Linked DNA regions of Anolis sagrei. The protein of the gene in region 2 binds, or shares a complex with, the protein of the main gene of each other region. Links are inferred from orthologs where the notes say so. Each region holds a gene or a part of one and is shown on either strand. Other genes may lie near its edges.

Region 1 (7,924 bases), on a different chromosome or scaffold from region 2:
AGTCCATCCCGGCGTTGGGCGGCCCAGCCCAGTGGCATCCCAGTGAGGAAGAACGTCTGAGTCCGAGGCATTTCCTCCGCACTGCCCACTATGGGTCCTTCTCTTTTCAGCTTGATGATCAGCTTGCTTCCTGGGGCATCGGCTGAGGTGACAAGTAGGGCAGCTCCAGGGAAGGCAGGCAGAAGCAGCGAGGGGGCACTAGGAGGGCAGGAAGAGAGGGCAGGGCCTGGAGGGTGGACCTGAGAAGACATGGCCTTAAGGGTGAAGGACCCTGAAGGAAAGAAGCTGGGGCCTGTCCTTGTACCGCCTGAAATTCTGATGTGAGAACGTTGGCAAAAAAACAAATTGGGGAAGAGGGATCTCTAGAGGATTCACAACACCACCATTTGGTTTCTAAGAAGATCCCACATTGTTGACGTGACTCTAAGGGCAAGGGTTGGATGATAACCATTCCAGAACTTGGACATCTTGAGAGTTCCATTGAAGGGAGGAAGTTAAAGTTTTTCTACAGACCTTTCCATGGTTTCTAGCTTCATACTGTTTTTTGAGCGCATACTATGGGAGATCATGAATTGGGTGAGTACATCTTACCACTATAATGAATGGGTGTTCCACTGGAGGTAAGCAGCATTCCCAAGTAGGACTTCCAACTTTTCTCCTGGGCTTTTAACAACTTGATGAGAGGAATAGATGATTGCTACAAAAAAGAAAAGGTCAGTAGATGATATATCCATACCATATTACATGTTATAGAGTGAGCCAAGGCACCCTTTCTGGGCATTGTTGGTTCTCCCTTTGACCGTGAAGATGTGTGGTGCATCTACTTGCTCTAAAACATGCCAGAATTACCTACCTCCCCTGATATCACGTCTCCCCAAAAATGGTGCCAAAGGTGACATGTGTCCCAAATGTGGTCAAAGACAAAACAGCAAGGGGTTAGCTACAGGAGTTGTTTATGACCACAGACTTGACTCGTGGTGTCTGCTCTGACATCGAGCAACTCATTGTAGGCCCAGTGTTATGCCACTGGAGGGCGAGGTACATCTATATTACAAGTTTAAACCAAGTTTAACTCTCATGGTGAATGTAATTTTGTGGAGATCGTTGTTATGCACCTGCAAGTTGACTCCAGCTTATGGTGACTCTGTTCTAGGATTTATTCAAAGGGGTTTGCCAGTGCCTTCCTCTGAAGCTGAGAGAGTGTGTCTTGCCAAGATCACAAACCGACTGAGAGAGGATTCCAATGGTGGTCTCTCCTTCCAACAGTAATATTATTTTAAATGGAAACATCTGGGAAACATTTAGAATAGGTTGCAGCAGTTTGCTTTAGCCTGAGCCCCTTCTACACTGCCATACCATCCAATTCAAAGCAGGTAATCTTGATTTTATATGGTAACACAGAAGGTGCCTTTGTCTATTGGGAAAGATTCTGTCTTTTCCTTTCCCACTTCTCAGGCCCCTTCTACATTGCAATATAACTTCCAGATTATCTGATTTGATAATCTGGATTATATGGCAGTGTAGAAGGGGCCAGAGTTATCTGGCAGTGTACTCTCACATAATCCAGTTCAAATTAGATAATCTGGATTATATGGCAGTGTAGAAGGGGCCTCAGTTAACTGAACGCAAACTATTTTTGACCTTTGAGCTCTCTTTGCATCAATTGAAGTAAGATGAAGACAAAGAGGGAAGAGAAAATGGGACATTTCAGAAGCTACTGGAATGACTGTGGATTAATTGGGGCCCCTTCTACACTGCCATATAAAATCCAGATTATCTGCTTTGAACTGGATTATGTGGCAGTGTAGACTCATATAATCACATTCAAAGCAGATAATGTGGATTATCTGATCTGATAATCTGAATTATATGGTAGTATAGAATGGGCCTGGGATTGTTCCTTCCAAATCAGGATAGTTTCAGAATATGGAATTGCACAAGTATATATTTTTTAAAGTATTAAGAAAAAGAAATGTCAAAAGCAAGCATTTTATAAAATTTTACTGTATTCTGTACTTTCTGTACCTGTAGGCCAAACTACAAACATTGAAGTTAAATGGTTAATGGATTTGTTCATATTTATTTGTTTACACTATTTATATTCTGCCCTTCTTACCCCACAGGGGACTCAGGGCAGATTACAATGTACACATTCAATACCAAAGACACACAACAGATATAGACAGACAGTCAGAGGCGATTTAACTTTTTCTGGTCACCAGGGGAGCTGTCTCTTTCATCGTCCATCTGCGACACTGATGAAGTACTTCCGCATTCCCCGCATGCTTTTGCTGGAGTGCTTTGCTGGAGTGTTTTTTATGGCCTTGTACATTTTGTTAAATTTGCCTCCACACACATAGGTGGTACCTATTTTTTCTACTTGACAGATGCAACTGTCTTTCGGGTTGCAAAGGTCAACAACAAGCTACACAATTGGTCGGAAGCTCACTCCGACTCAGGCTGGCTTCGAACTCATGACCTTGTCATCAGAAGTGATCTTAATGCAGCTGACACTCAAACACTGTGCCACAGTCCCGGTGCAGTGTCTTATTTGCTTGCTTTCTTTTCTCTATCCACTGTTTGGGACAACAAGCTGCGTCAAATAGAAACATGACCTGAGTAGATTTAGACAGAAAAAAGATATGTAATTTATATATAAATATGAAAAGTTTGTTTCTCCACACCCATCATGCAAAAAAAAAAAAAAAATCCTTAGGGATCTTCTAGACAAGAAAGAAATACAGTAGAGTCTTCCTTACCTAACATAAACGGGCCAGCAGAACGTCGGATAAGCGAAAATGTTGGATAATAAGGAGGAATTAAGGAAAAGCCTATTAAATGTCAAATTACAGTCAGAAGTCAGATTCAAAAAAGTTATAGTAGGAAAGTATCCATTCTACACAACCAATCAGAATGAGAGCAGAAAGAGGGAACAAAATAAATACATTCCAAACTGTCATTCAGGAGACATGGTTGAAAGGGAAGTCCCTCATCCTATACTAAACTAAGTGTTCCTCGTTGAGGACTTGAGACTTGGGCAGTGTGAGGCTGAATTCCAACACTGAGAATATAACTGTGTAAGAAATGTGTTTTCGCCATACACAGCATTGAGCCATAGCAGTTAAAGTGGTGTCAAACTACATTCATTCTACAGTATAGAGATGCACCCTAAGCTTGACTTGCCAAAAAAAAAAAACAAAGTCAAACTACGAGGGTTGAATGAAAAGTAATGCTTCCATCTTCGTAAGTCCTCAACAGATGGCAGTACTGGTATGCAGCAGGTACTGGCTTGTTCAGTAGATGATCCTCTACAGTTCCATTTTGGCGGGAAGCTTTAGCATTGAGCGGTTGTGTTGTTAAAGTGCGAAGTATGGAACCCTGCGCAGACAGTCGGTCAATGCGACTTAAGCAACGTGCAGTCATTGAATTCTTGACAGCAGAAGGTGCTACCCCAAAGGAGATTCCATAGAGAATGCAAGCTGTTTATGGTGGTTGTGTTGATGTGAGTACTGTGCATCATTGGGCAAGTAAGTTCAAAGATGTTGAGGTGGGAACATCTGACTTGCGTGACAAAGAGTTGGACGTCCTGTGACAGCAACCACCGAGTTTCACAAGCAAAAGGTTGAGATTGATTCAGGACGATCGCCGTATCACTCAGAGAGAAATTTCAAGCATAATCGCCATTTCACTAGACCGTGTGGATCACATTATTGCTTTGCTTGGCTATCGGAAGATCTGTGCATGATGGGTACCGGGATGAGAGAAGTGTGAGATGCTGGTTGCGGAAACGAGTGTCGACTTCTTCCGTGACAGTGTCAGAAAACTTGTCCATCGTTGGCAGAAATGTATCCAATGGTCTGGTGATTCTGTGGAAAAGTGAATAGTGGTAGTTAAAGAGCACATTCTAAGGATTATTTATGCGTTTCATAGAATGATAGAATCAAAGAGTTGGAAGAGACCTCATGGGCCATCCAGTCCAACCCCTGCCAAGAAGCAGGAATATTGCATTCAAATCACCCCTGACAGATGGCCATCCAGCCTCTGTTTAAAAGCTTCCAAAGAAGGAGCCTCCACCACACTCCGGGGCAGAGAGTTCCACTGCTGAACGGCTCTCACAGTCAGGAAGTTCTTCCTCATGTTCAGATGGAATCTCCTCTCTTGTAGTTTGAAGCCATTGTTTCTTGTCCTAGTCTCCAGGGCAGCAGAAAACAAGCTTGCTCCCTCCTCCCTGTGGCTTCCTCTCACATATTTATACATGGCTATCATATCTCCTCTCAGCCTTCTCTTCTTCAGGCTAAACATGCCCAGCTCCTTAAGCCGCTCCTCATAGGAGCCAAGCAACGAAGGTGGAGGCATTACTTTTCATTCAACCCTCCTACATTATTTCCAAAACAATTGGAAAACTTATTTAAAAACTGTTGAAAGGATTAGATGATGGGAGAATAAAAGGAATGCTAGATGAAAGACAGAAAGATGATCCTTTCAACAGGTAGAGAAACAGATTCCTTTTGCACGAGTGCATGTTTACAGTAGGAAAACTACAAATCCCAGCAGGCATTGGGCAAGAAAGGCGAAAGACTACAGCTCCCAGAATGCTCAGGGAAGTTTTCTTTTGTGCCTGTTCATTGGAGGATGGGAGGAAGAGGTGGAGTTTGTTTGCACGTGTTTTGCAGGAAGAGAAGGGAAAGGGAAATCGGTTTGGAATCCGAATCCTGTTGATAAGAATCGTTTGCTCCGGATTTTGCAGCTATGTTCCTGCAATTCTACTTGGATGAGCGAGGGGACAGGGTTTATACCCTCAAGGTAAGGGTTTTACATCCCTGGGGGTGTGTGAATGTTTGATTCTGGGTGCATCTGCACTGTGGAATTAATGCAGTTTGATACCACTTTAACTGCTATGGCTCAATGCTAGGAGTTGGAGTTGTTAGACTTCTATGCCAAAGAGTGCTGTTGTCTCACTAAACTAAGACTCCCAAGCATGGGCAAACTTGGGCCCTCCAGGTGTTTTGGACTTCAACTCCCACAATTCCTAGCAGCCGATAGGCTGCTAGGAATTGTGGGAGTTGAAGTCCAAAACACCTGGAGGGCCCAAGTTTGCCTATGCCAGTTCTATATCATTATACCACAGTCAGCCCTCCATATCCACAAATTTTGCATCCAAGGATTCAGCCTTTCACAGCTTGAAAATATTGCAAAATATCCAGAAAACAAAGCTTATTATTTGCCATTTTGCATATGGTAATTTCCAGTATAATTTAACCTTGAGTCACACCAACACAGCTGTATAAAATCCATATTGAACTGGATTATATGGCAGCGTGGACTCTGATAACCCCGTTTAAAGCCAATATTGTGTATCATCTGCCTTGATATTCTGGGTTATATAGCTGTGTGGAAGGACACCTAGAGATTTTAATTAAATCAGTAAATTATCAAATCCACAAATGTGGAAGGACAACTTGGAGTAAATCTTAAAGGCAAACGAAATCCATAGCTATAGGGAAACCATCAGAATGCCTCATTGTTGGGACTGTCTTCTATGGCAAATTCTCTCATGGCTAAACATTCCTGACTGTGAGAGCCGTTCAGCAGTGGAACTCTCTGCCCCGGAGCATGTTGGAGGCTCCTTTTTTGGAAGCTTTTAAAGAGAGGCTGGATGGCCATCTGTCAGGGGTGATTTTAATGCAATATTCCTGCTTCTTGGCAGGGGGTTGGACTGGATGGCCCATGAGGTCTCTTCCAACTCTTTGATTCTATGATTCTGTGATTTACTTTACTTCTAGGATCCTCCAAGCCAATGAGTGGACAGGTTTAAACGAGTCCATTGAGTCTGTAGCAATGGCAGGCTTACACCAATTCAGCGCCGTAATTGAATAGTTCCGATGTTTCAAAGATCAGATAATTCCCAGGTTCATCTATAAAAACACAATGGCTTGCCTTGTGTAGTACGTCCTGGGTTCCAAGTTTGCATGAAGTCTGTAAATAAATAGTTCAGATGGTTCAGCTGTCAGTTAAGGTAAAAGTTTTCCCCTGACATTAAATCCAGTTGTGTCCAACTCTGAGGGTTGGTGCTCATCTCAATTTCTAAGCCGAAGAGCCGGCATTGTCCATAGACATAGGGGTGTGGAGATGAGCACCACACCCCAAGGTCATGTGGCCGGAATGACTGCATGGAGTGCTGTTACCTTCCCGCAGAAGTGGTACCTATTTATTTATTTATATTTATCGTGTCAGGAATGAACCAAAACAGTTGTATTGCATTAAAAACAAACAAACAAAACACAAAGTTTGCAAGCTTGGTAGTTGTTTAAATGTCCTTTGATCAGTAGCTGACCTCTGGTGTTGCTGGAGGAAGGTCCTCCATTGTGCATGTGGCAGGGCTCAGGTTGCATTGCAGTAGGTGGTCTGTGGTTTGCTCTTCTACACACTCGCATGTGGTGGAGTCCACTTTGTGGCCCCATTTCTTAAGGTTGGCTCTGCATCTCATGGTGCCAGAGCGCAGTCTGATCAGCACCTTCCAAGTCGCCCAGTTTTCTGTGTGCCCAGGGGGGAGTCTCTCATTTGGTACCAGACATTGATTGAGGCTCTGGGTTTGAGCCTGCCGCTTTTGGACTCTCGCTTGCTGAGGTGTTCCAGCAAGTGTTTCTGCAGATCTTAGAAAACTATTTCTTTATTTAAGTCATTGGCATGCTGGCTGATACCCAAACAGGGGGTGGACCGGAGATGTCACTGCCTTAGTCCTTTCACTATTGGTTGCTACTCCCCGACGGATGTCAGGTGGTGCAATACCGGCTACACAGTGTAATTTCTCCAGTGGTGTAAGGAGCAGACACCCCATGATAATGAGCATGTCTCATTAAGAGCCGCATCCAATGGTGAGATGTGTTCCACACTGGGCATGCATACTCAGCAACAGAATAGCAAAGCACAAGGGCAGATGTCTTCACTGTATCTAGTTGTGATACCCAGGTACCAATTGATCTACTCACATTTGCATGTTTTCAACTGCTAGATAGGCAGAAGCTAGGGCTAACAGCAGGAGCTCACCCTGCTCAAACCGGCGTCCTTTTAATCAGCAAGTTCAGCAGCTCAACGGTTTAACCCACTGTGCCAGCTGTCGGTTATGCACCAATAAAAACACAATAAAGTTACTATCACACTTTATTGCTGAAATAGAGGGAAATTGATGCACAGAGTACAATGATTATAACAAAGAGCTTTGCAATATACACAGTGCAATAAATATTTGTGGAGCTTCCAGCAGCCAGTCAAAACTATCATTCTGAAGGCATTTAATTTTTTCATATTATTTTCAACCAATATTTATTTATTTATATATTTATTTACAGTATTTCTATACCGCTTTTCTCACTCCTAAGGGGACTCAAAGCGGTTTACACATAACTGGCAAAACTTCAATGCCATACATTGGACACTGACGTGATGCCAGTCCATAACAACCACAATAATAGAACAACAATTAAGCATAAATCATAATTAGACAGTACATAAGCAATCGTTAAAACAATAAATAATAAAAACAGTCTCGCCAGTCGTATTGTCATTCTAGTCCATGTCCTATAAACTCTACACACATCTAATCTACAAACATTAAAGAATGTTTTCAGTTCTCTGCTGAGCAGAAAAATTATTGCTAAAAATTTCTAGCAAAATGAAATTGTTCATGTCCTATAAAATACAGCATATACTAGCGTTGTACTTGCTCACATAATGTGATTAAATCATTGTCGTTTCTGAAGGTAATTCATGCACAGTACTGTTTTAACTGTGTTTGTTAATGTATTAATCTTAAGCAGTCTTAACCATTGTATAATTCACAGAAATCAATAATACACTTTAGCATAGAATATAATGTAGAATTACTTTATATGAGTTCTCCCTTACAATTAGTTCTGCCCCCTTA
Region 2 (8,605 bases):
GCCTTTTTTTTGGTACAGGGATGTAAACTTTTATAACTATCCTTTTTATAAATTTGGATGCTGCATTTATTAATTAAATAATCTCCCTATTTTTTTTGAAATGTAATTTATTTTAAGTATGTTTGGAATGCAAGTGAAAAAAGATCTTCACTTACACCATTGCATGGAATCGAACAGAGCTGCAATGCTATCTGTCCTATATTGAGGTAAATGCCCGCTGAATTCTGTGGGATTTTTATTACTGGACAGAAATGTATGTATCTGCAGTTTTAGTCCCTTGGTATGAGCTCCTTGAGCACTGCATTGCAAACATAGGTCTTTTGTGCATGTCAGTAAGGGATCTCTCTGTGCATGTAGGACCACTTGCCCACCCCACTGGATGGGGGCTTAGGGGTGCCATCTTGTGCCCAATTATGCATGCTTAAGCCCATTGACGTGAATGAGACTTGAGCATGCTTTATGGTGATCCTTGTTGCCAAAAGAATTTTGCATTTAATACCACTGAATGCACATGCATGTTTTCCCCATTAATAACACCCCGAAATCCACTTATGGTTAGCATCAGGTGGCTTGTTGTGGGTTTTTAGGGTAGATTACTAATGGGTTGGAACTCAACTAAGTAGTTAAGTCCTAGTCCCATTCAAGGGAATGGAAGAAACTAATTAATTTGTCAGTGGAACCAAAGTGTGACAAATCTAATATGCAGTGTCATGTTCCTAGTATTTTTTTAAATGACAATGTTGGCACCCAAATACTTGATTTTTTTTCCTACTACCTTTATTCTATAAAGCAAGGCTTAAATTAATGTACTGAGTGGGTTTGGCCATGATCTATCCAGTGGAATACTTCTAGGTCCAAAAAAAAAAAAAAATCCTGGCAGAAATACTAATATCCCAGGTTTCTTTGTCTGGTTGGTGTATCAAAGTACAGAGGATCCATGCTTAGCGGAATAATTTGCAGCACAGTTATTATTTCCTTGTTTTGTTTTAAATCTTGAATGAAGAATGTAACATCTTATTGTCCTATCAAAGAAGAAAAGACCTGATTAGCTTCTTGTTGAGTCAGTGACCTTTGTTCCCTTCAGTCTGTGTACAAAATAAACGTTCATGCAGAGAGCCCAGGCTCTGATTATACTTCTGAAGATGTCTGTGGATTCAGTGTAAGGTTCCCATTTAATTTAGCAGTTGATTCAAGTTGAAGTTGAGAAATGATGCATTCTGATACATACATTTGATCCATTCTACAGTTATGAAGCTGCTGAGTTCTGGAAAATAGTCAAGAGAGATTCGCAAAAAAGTTTAGGTTATTTATTTTATTTATTTATCGTGTCATCAGCAACCATACCATTGTATTACAGTTCTAACAGAACAAAACAAACACACAGATTAAAAACAAAAACAAAACAAAAACACAGATTTTGCAAACTTGGTAGTTGGTTAAATGTCCTTTGACCAGTATCTGGCCACTTGGAGTGCCTCTGGTGTTGCCGCAAGAAGGTCCTCCATTGTGCATGTGGCAGGGCTCAGGGTGCATTGCAGCAGGTGGTCAGTGGTTTGTTCTTCTCCGCACTTGCATACCGTGGATTCCACCCTGTAGCCCCATTTCTTAAGATTGGCTCTGCTTCTCGTGGTGCCAGAGCGCAGTCTGTTCAGCGCCTTCCAAGTCGCCCAGTCTTCTGTGTGCCCAGGGGGGAGTCTCTCATCTGGTATCACCCATGGATTGAGGTGCTGGGTTTGGGCCTGCCACCTTTGGACTCTCGCTTGCTGGGGTGTTGCAGCGAGTGCCTCTGTAGATCTAAGAAAACTATGTCTTGATTTAAATTGTTGACGTGCTGGCTGATACCCAAACGGGATGAGCTGGAGATGTCTCTGCCTTGGTCCTTTCACTATTGGCTGCTACTTCCCGGCGGATGTCAGGTGGTGCAATACCTTCAGATTACGTGTCTTGACCCCACACTATGTGACCTTTTCCCAATTTCATTTCATCTATGAAGCAGATCTAGGCAAGTTGCGATTACTCTCCTACCCCAATAATTTTGGTTTATGTGTAGGGAATATTGATGATAATAATAATAATAATAATAATAATAATAATAACAATAATAACTTTATTTACATTCCACTCTTATCTCCCCAAAGGGACTCAGGGCAGATTCCAAACATAAAAGGCAAATGTTCAATGCCTGAATACAATACATCCATATTAACAAAATTTAAACAACCCAACATATAAACACGAATTATAACTTAACAACTAAAATTAAATAAAAGAAAAAAAACTGCCTGTTACGACAGACATAAGACAAAACATATAGCACGTGGAAAGATTACAAACCAGTGTGTTTACGATCCGAACCCCTTTCAAAGCCACGACTTATGCCGACTCCTTGAATTTCATAGGGTTTCTTCAGGTGGTTTTGCCACTTCCTTCCTCTGAAATAGTGCATTTGTTAACAGCCTCACATCCCTTCCTTAGCTTCTAAGATCAGATGGGATCTGGAGCAGCACTTCCCAAACTTTGGTCCTCCAAATATTTTGGACTTTGTGGTCCATAATTCCTGACAGCTGGCCAAGGTAGCTGGGACTTCTGGAAGTGGAAGTCCAAAATATCTAAAGGAGTAAGATTGGGAACCAACTGCTTTCAGGTATTTAGGTTCTTAGGGTCTCTATAATAAATGTATTCAATATGCGTATGTGTTTTTAACCATATAAAATCCAGATTATCAAATTTGAACTGGATTATTTGATTTGATAATCTGGATTATATGGCAGTGTAGGCCCTGCCTAGATTCTCCAACAAACTCTTTAACACTCCTCACTTTACTCCCTTTGCTTTCATCTTGTAATTCAATCTATTTTACCAAATGTATTTTAATTCAATCTAGTTTTCCTATGTTTTAATTTATTTTAGTTAACTGTTACAGGAGTTTTAGGATAGTGGTTAGTGTCTATTTTTGGTTTTTTTTTTTGTCTTTTATTGTTGGTTTGGTCAGTGGACTAATCAATAAACAGGGTTATCTGTCTATCATAGGGGCTCCTTGAGTGACTCTATGACCTTTTGCCCATTCATTCCTCTGAGACCCCTTCTACGCTGCCATATATTCCATGATCTGATCCCAGATGATCTGATTTAAACTGGATTATGAGTCTCTACTGCCAGATAATTTGGGATAAAATAATCTGGGATCACATCCTGGGATATAGGGGCAGTGTGGAAGGGACCCGAGGCTGGATCTACACTGCCATATAAATCCAGATTATCTGTTTTGAACTGGATTATATGCGTATATACTGCCATATAATCCAGTTCAAAAAGATGATCTGTATTTTATATAGCAGTATAGAAGGGGCCTCATATAATCCAGTTCAGAGCATTTAATCTGGATTATCTGTTTTTGATAACATGGATTATATGGCAATGTAAAAGGGCCCTAAGTATTTTTGTATTTTTAAGGACTCTGCTATTTGGGGGGAATTCCCAAATTTAGGACACTTCTACATTGCCATATAATCCAGATTATATAAAAAAAGTAATCCAGACTACATTCTTTGAACTGGATTATATGAGGCCTGCTGAAAGGGCCTCATATAATGAGGCCTGCTGAAAGGGCCTCTCTTTTCACATTCTCAGAAGTCCCCTTCAGGCTTGGAATGGCGGCATTCAACCCATGAGTTGAATCTCCCTGAAAACAGCTTTATTAGCTGCCAGCAAAAGCAAATGACAGCAATTGTGCTCAAAACAAAATCTGGCTACTAGTATTAAAAACTCTAAAATCATAACAGGTGGGAACCCCAGGTTTCAGCGGTGACCAGGGGAGCATTTGCACAGCTAAAGCTTGTGCGCCAGCTGCGCCCATACCTTGGGAAGTCTGACTTGGCCACGGTAGTCCATGCTCTGGTTACATCCCGTTTAGACTACTGCAACGCTCTCTACGTGGGGTTGCCTTTGAAGACAGCTCGGAAGCTCCAACTAGTCCAACGCTCGGCAGCCATGATTTTAACAGGAGCGGAGCGCAGGGAGCATACAACCCCCCTGTTGCGCCAACTCCACTGGCTACCAATCTGCTACCGGGCTGAATTCAAAGTGCTGGCGTTGGCCTTTAAAGCCCTAAACGGTTCCGGCCCTAGCTACCTATCTGACCGCATCTCTGCCTATGAACCCACGAGGAGTTTGAGATCTTCCGGGGAGGTGGGCTCTCCGGGGAGGTGGGCTCTTCCGGGGAGGGCTCTTCCGGGGAGGTGGGCTCTCGATCCCACCTGCTTCTCAAGCTCGGCTGGCGGGGACGAGAGATAGGGCCTTCTCGGTGGTGGCTCCTTGGCTGTGGAACGCCCTTCCTACGGACATTAGACTAGCACCATCTCTAATGGTATTCCGCAAAAAGGTGAAGACCTGGATGTTTGTGCAGGCGTTTGAGTAATTTAGTGCAATCTGGTAATGGAACATAGGAATGGAACAATGGACGACGAACCTGGACTACGCTTGGATGATGAGAAGATTGGGTACGGTTGTTTTTTGTAATAATTGTGCATTGTAATTGCTTATTGGTAATTTATGGATAATGTGTTAAGTCAATTGTTATATGTTGTATGGAACCACTGCTGTTTCTACTGTTTTTACTGTTTGTGAACCGCCGTGAGTCGCCTTCGGGCTTGAGATACAGCAGTATATAAGCAAAGTAAATAAATAATAATAATAATAATAACAGTAAATGGAGAACAACTTTCAAAAACAGGAGAACTCCAGACAAGAAACCATCAGGGACAGCTAATCACCTTTCAACAAAGGATTCCCCCAGGCAGTAAGAAGCTACACCTTGAAAACTCCTGGGCTAATCAATGCTAATCAAGGTGACCAATTGAAACATTCACACCAAATTTCCAAAATGAAGAAAACCAGAGACATTGGAATGGTGGGCAGAATGTGTATCCCATATATCTGTCACTTTCACTCATACCTGACACTGAGATTGCTGGTAAATAAAAGAAAAGAAATCGCTCTGAAGTAGGAGCAGAAAGGATGCTGCCCCTTTAAGGATTGCTGGACTGCGCCCCTCGGCATCCCTCACCCTTGCATATGCGGGCGTCGTACTTCAATGACTCCTGCCTGAAGAAAACAGAGGGCGCCGCGTTTCCCGCGCTTTTTCCAAGCCCGAGAGGGGGCGGGGCTTAGAGGGGGCGGGGCTTGGCCAGGCCATGGGGCGCCCGCGGGTGTGCAGGCTGCTGCGGGGCTGCTTCGAGGAGGTGCTGCCCTTGGAGGCCTTCGTGAGGCGCCTCCAGGAGAAGGAGGCCGAAGCCTCGGGGGCCCCGCTGGTCCAGGAGGGGGATCCCAAGTGCTTCCGAGTGCTGGTGGAGCGCTGCCTGGTGGGCAGGCCCCGCGGGGGGAAGGCGCCCCCGCCTCGCTTGAGCTTCCAGCAGGTAAACAGCCCTCTCCAGGCCCGCCCCTTGCCGTGGGCGCTTCTCCTCAGCACTGCCTGGGGAGACACACAGGGACCTCTCCCGCAAAAATACTCCATAGTATGCACACTGAGGCGCTTATAACTTGCCCTGGAAGGCTGCTGGCTCCTTCAGGGGAGCACAAGCTGCCCCCAAACATTTTAATACAAGCGCGTTTTCTGAGTTGTATGGGCAGTGGGGACATCCAGCTGCCAACCCTGGATGGCGAGGCACTACGTCCATCATCATTGGTAAAGAGTCTGGGAGTCCTTTTGGACCCTCTGCTGACGATGGAGGCCCAGGTATCCACCGTTAGCAGAACTGCCTTCTTTCACCTACGGCAGGCTAGACGGCTGGCCCCTTACCTGTCCAGCGACGACCTAGCTACGGTGATCCAGGCCACGGTCATCTCAAGACTGGACTACTGTAACGCCCTCTACATTGGCCTTCCTCTGTCGGTGATCCGGAAGCTCAAGTTGGTACAAAATGCAGCTGCTCAGCTTCTTGCGGGAACTCCGATGAGATGCCACATAACACCAAACTCACAACAGCTGCATTGGTTACCAATTGAGCACCGGATCACTTTCAAAGTGATGGTACTCACCTTTAAGGCCTTGCATGGTTTGGGGCCGATGTACCTCACCCCCTACCAACCCCAGAGATCCCTCTGTTCTGAGGACCAAGATCTATTGGAAGTCCCCAGTGTCAAGACCTTGTGTCTAACAGCAACCAGAAGCAGAGCCTTCACAGCAGTGGCACCATCGCTCTGGAATACTCTGCCACCCGAAGTCCGTGCCTTGTGGGACTTATCAGTTTTCCACAGGGCATGCAAGACATACCTATTTCGACAGGCCTTTGATTTTTGATATTGCCGTTTTTAAATTGTTTTAAACTGCTTTTAAATTTTGTTAGATTTTAACTATTCTTGTAAACTGCTCCGAGGCCCAGGGGAGTGGCGGCATATAAGTTTAAATAATAAATAAATAAGCATTCTCTCCTGACATTTCGCCCAGGTATCCTCAGAGGTTGTGAGGTCTGTTGGAAACTAGGCAAGTGGGGTTTATTACAGACTAGCTTGGGGACCCTGCGTGTCCTGGGTTATTTGAGAAAGTAATTGTGTATCAAGCTTGGTCTTTATCAGTTATTTATATACAGTGGTTTCAGGAAGTTAGTGAAGGTACTGCGAGTCCCATCATCTGTGGTCCATCCTCCTCCAAACTACACCAGGATGGAGGCTCTGTGAGCCAAGTTTGGTCTTCATCAGTCACAGGATGAGGGTCGCAGTGGTTTCAGTGAGTAAAGGTACTGCAAGGCCCATCATCCATGGTCCATTCCCCCTTAGAACTGCATCAGGATGTAGAGTGGGTCATGAGTACTCTGTGTGCCAAGTTTGGGCCTGGTTTGTGATTTGTAGAAAAGACTTAAAAAGCCACAAAATAAAAATTACAATGCATGTGCAAAACATGCAAACACACATATACACAAATGTTTTAAAAAAAGGTTGTCCCCTGACATTAAGTCCAGTCATGTCTGACTCTGGGGTGTAGTGCTCATCTCCATTTCTAAGCCAAAGAACCAGCGTTGTCCATAGACACCTCCAAGGTCATGTGGCCAGCATGACCGCATGGAGCACCGTTATCTTCCCGCTGGAGCGGTACCTATTGATCTACTCACATTTGCATGTTTTCGAACTGCTAGGTTGGCAGAAGCTAGGGCTGACAGTGGAAGCTCACACCGCTCCCTGGAATCGAACCTGCGATTTTTTGGTCAACAAGCTCAGCAGCTCAGTGTTTTAACCCATTGCACCACCGGGGACATACACACAAAATACATATACACAGACTGGACCACAGTAACGCGTGGTAGGGGACGGCTAGTAACATAATAAAATTCAACAGAAAGGGCAGGTCAAATGCACGAGATAAGATGTTAAAAAGTTGAAACCCTGGGTGAGATAGGAATAAAAGTATATTTATGAGGGAGGAGTCAGGGGGGCAGTGGGGTTTGGCTTTATTAAGGACAGGTTGACAGTGCATCATGAGGACAATTGTAGATGGAAACAAACAAAATGGGTTGAACGGTCACTCTCCAAGGGCACATAGGAATAGCCAAGTTTTTAGATCTTTCTTAAAGAAGCTACTCTGTTGGAGGCTTTTAAACAGGCTGGATGGCCATCTGTCAGGGGTACTTTGATTGTACATTTCCTGCATAGCAGGAGGTTGGACTAGATGTCCCTTTGGAGAGATGGAGGTGGGGTACAAAAATAAAGTTGTTATTATTTGTGGTCTACTGGACTGCAGATCCCATCAGTCCCAACCAGCCTAGGCAAAAGCAAGGGAGGATGGGAGCTGCAGCCCGACATCATGTTGTGGGCCACACTTGCAATACATAATTTAGGACCTGTGCCCCAAAATTTTAATGCCAATCCCGCGAAATCCTAAATGACAATGAATGAAATATAGTCATAACGTTTTTGTTCACTTCCAGATTTCTAGTCAGCAAGATGTCGTTGCAAGAGTCGTTCAGCGAATCTGTGAAAAGAACAAAAGGAATGTCTTGGCCTTTGGCTATTCTCTATTGGATGAAAACCATCTCCCGTTGCCCGGCATGCCAAATGTCTACAGCTACTTTACCAATTATACCACAGAAACCATTTTTCAGAGTATTCTCTGGGAGTTGATTCTGAACAGAGTTGGGGATGATGTCTTCATGTATATATTGGAGCACTGCTCTCTCTTTATGTTAGTGCCACCTAGTTGTTGTTACCAAATCTGTGGGCAGCCCATTTATGAAATTGCATTCAAGGATGCATCTCCCTCTCCTGAATTCCTCAGGCAGAGGTATCCTGGGCCAAAACACAGCGCCTTGACTGGTTACCTGCAAAGAAGGAGGTTTTCATCTTATAAGCAATGCCCAGCAAGAGGAAACTGGAAGGAGTTGCATCCTAGAAGAAAATTAGGAAGGAAAGCAATATATGTTTTGGAGGGCAGTTATCCACAATCTTCAGTGGTTCAAACAGTCAAGCAGAATTTTACAGCGAGTGCCAGCGAATGCCCAGAAAGCAGGCAAAAGGCCAGTGAGCGTACATCTTCAACACGATCTCTGAAAAGAAAATGGAAAGGCCGTTGTGAACTGAGCACAAAAAGAATAAAAATCATGCAAATAGAGGACAG

Evidence for each region.
Region 1: TERT (region 2) and NOP10 share a complex: the UniProt entries of both Homo sapiens proteins name them as parts of the telomerase holoenzyme complex. The link is inferred for Anolis sagrei from reciprocal best matches to the Homo sapiens genes TERT and NOP10.

The regions. Positions count from the first base shown.
Region 1 is NC_090026.1:13,100,961-13,108,884, reverse strand, and holds the start of NOP10 (H/ACA ribonucleoprotein complex subunit 3), read left to right. Parts: upstream 1-4,644; 5' UTR 4,645-4,749; coding exon 4,750-4,803; intron 4,804-7,924. UniProt on the Homo sapiens protein: Required for ribosome biogenesis and telomere maintenance. Part of the H/ACA small nucleolar ribonucleoprotein (H/ACA snoRNP) complex, which catalyzes pseudouridylation of rRNA.
Region 2 is NC_090024.1:105,809,834-105,818,438, reverse strand, and holds the start of TERT (telomerase reverse transcriptase), read left to right. Parts: upstream 1-5,191; 5' UTR 5,192-5,192; coding exon 5,193-5,414; intron 5,415-7,919; coding exon 7,920-8,605. UniProt on the Homo sapiens protein: Telomerase is a ribonucleoprotein enzyme essential for the replication of chromosome termini in most eukaryotes. Active in progenitor and cancer cells. Inactive, or very low activity, in normal somatic cells.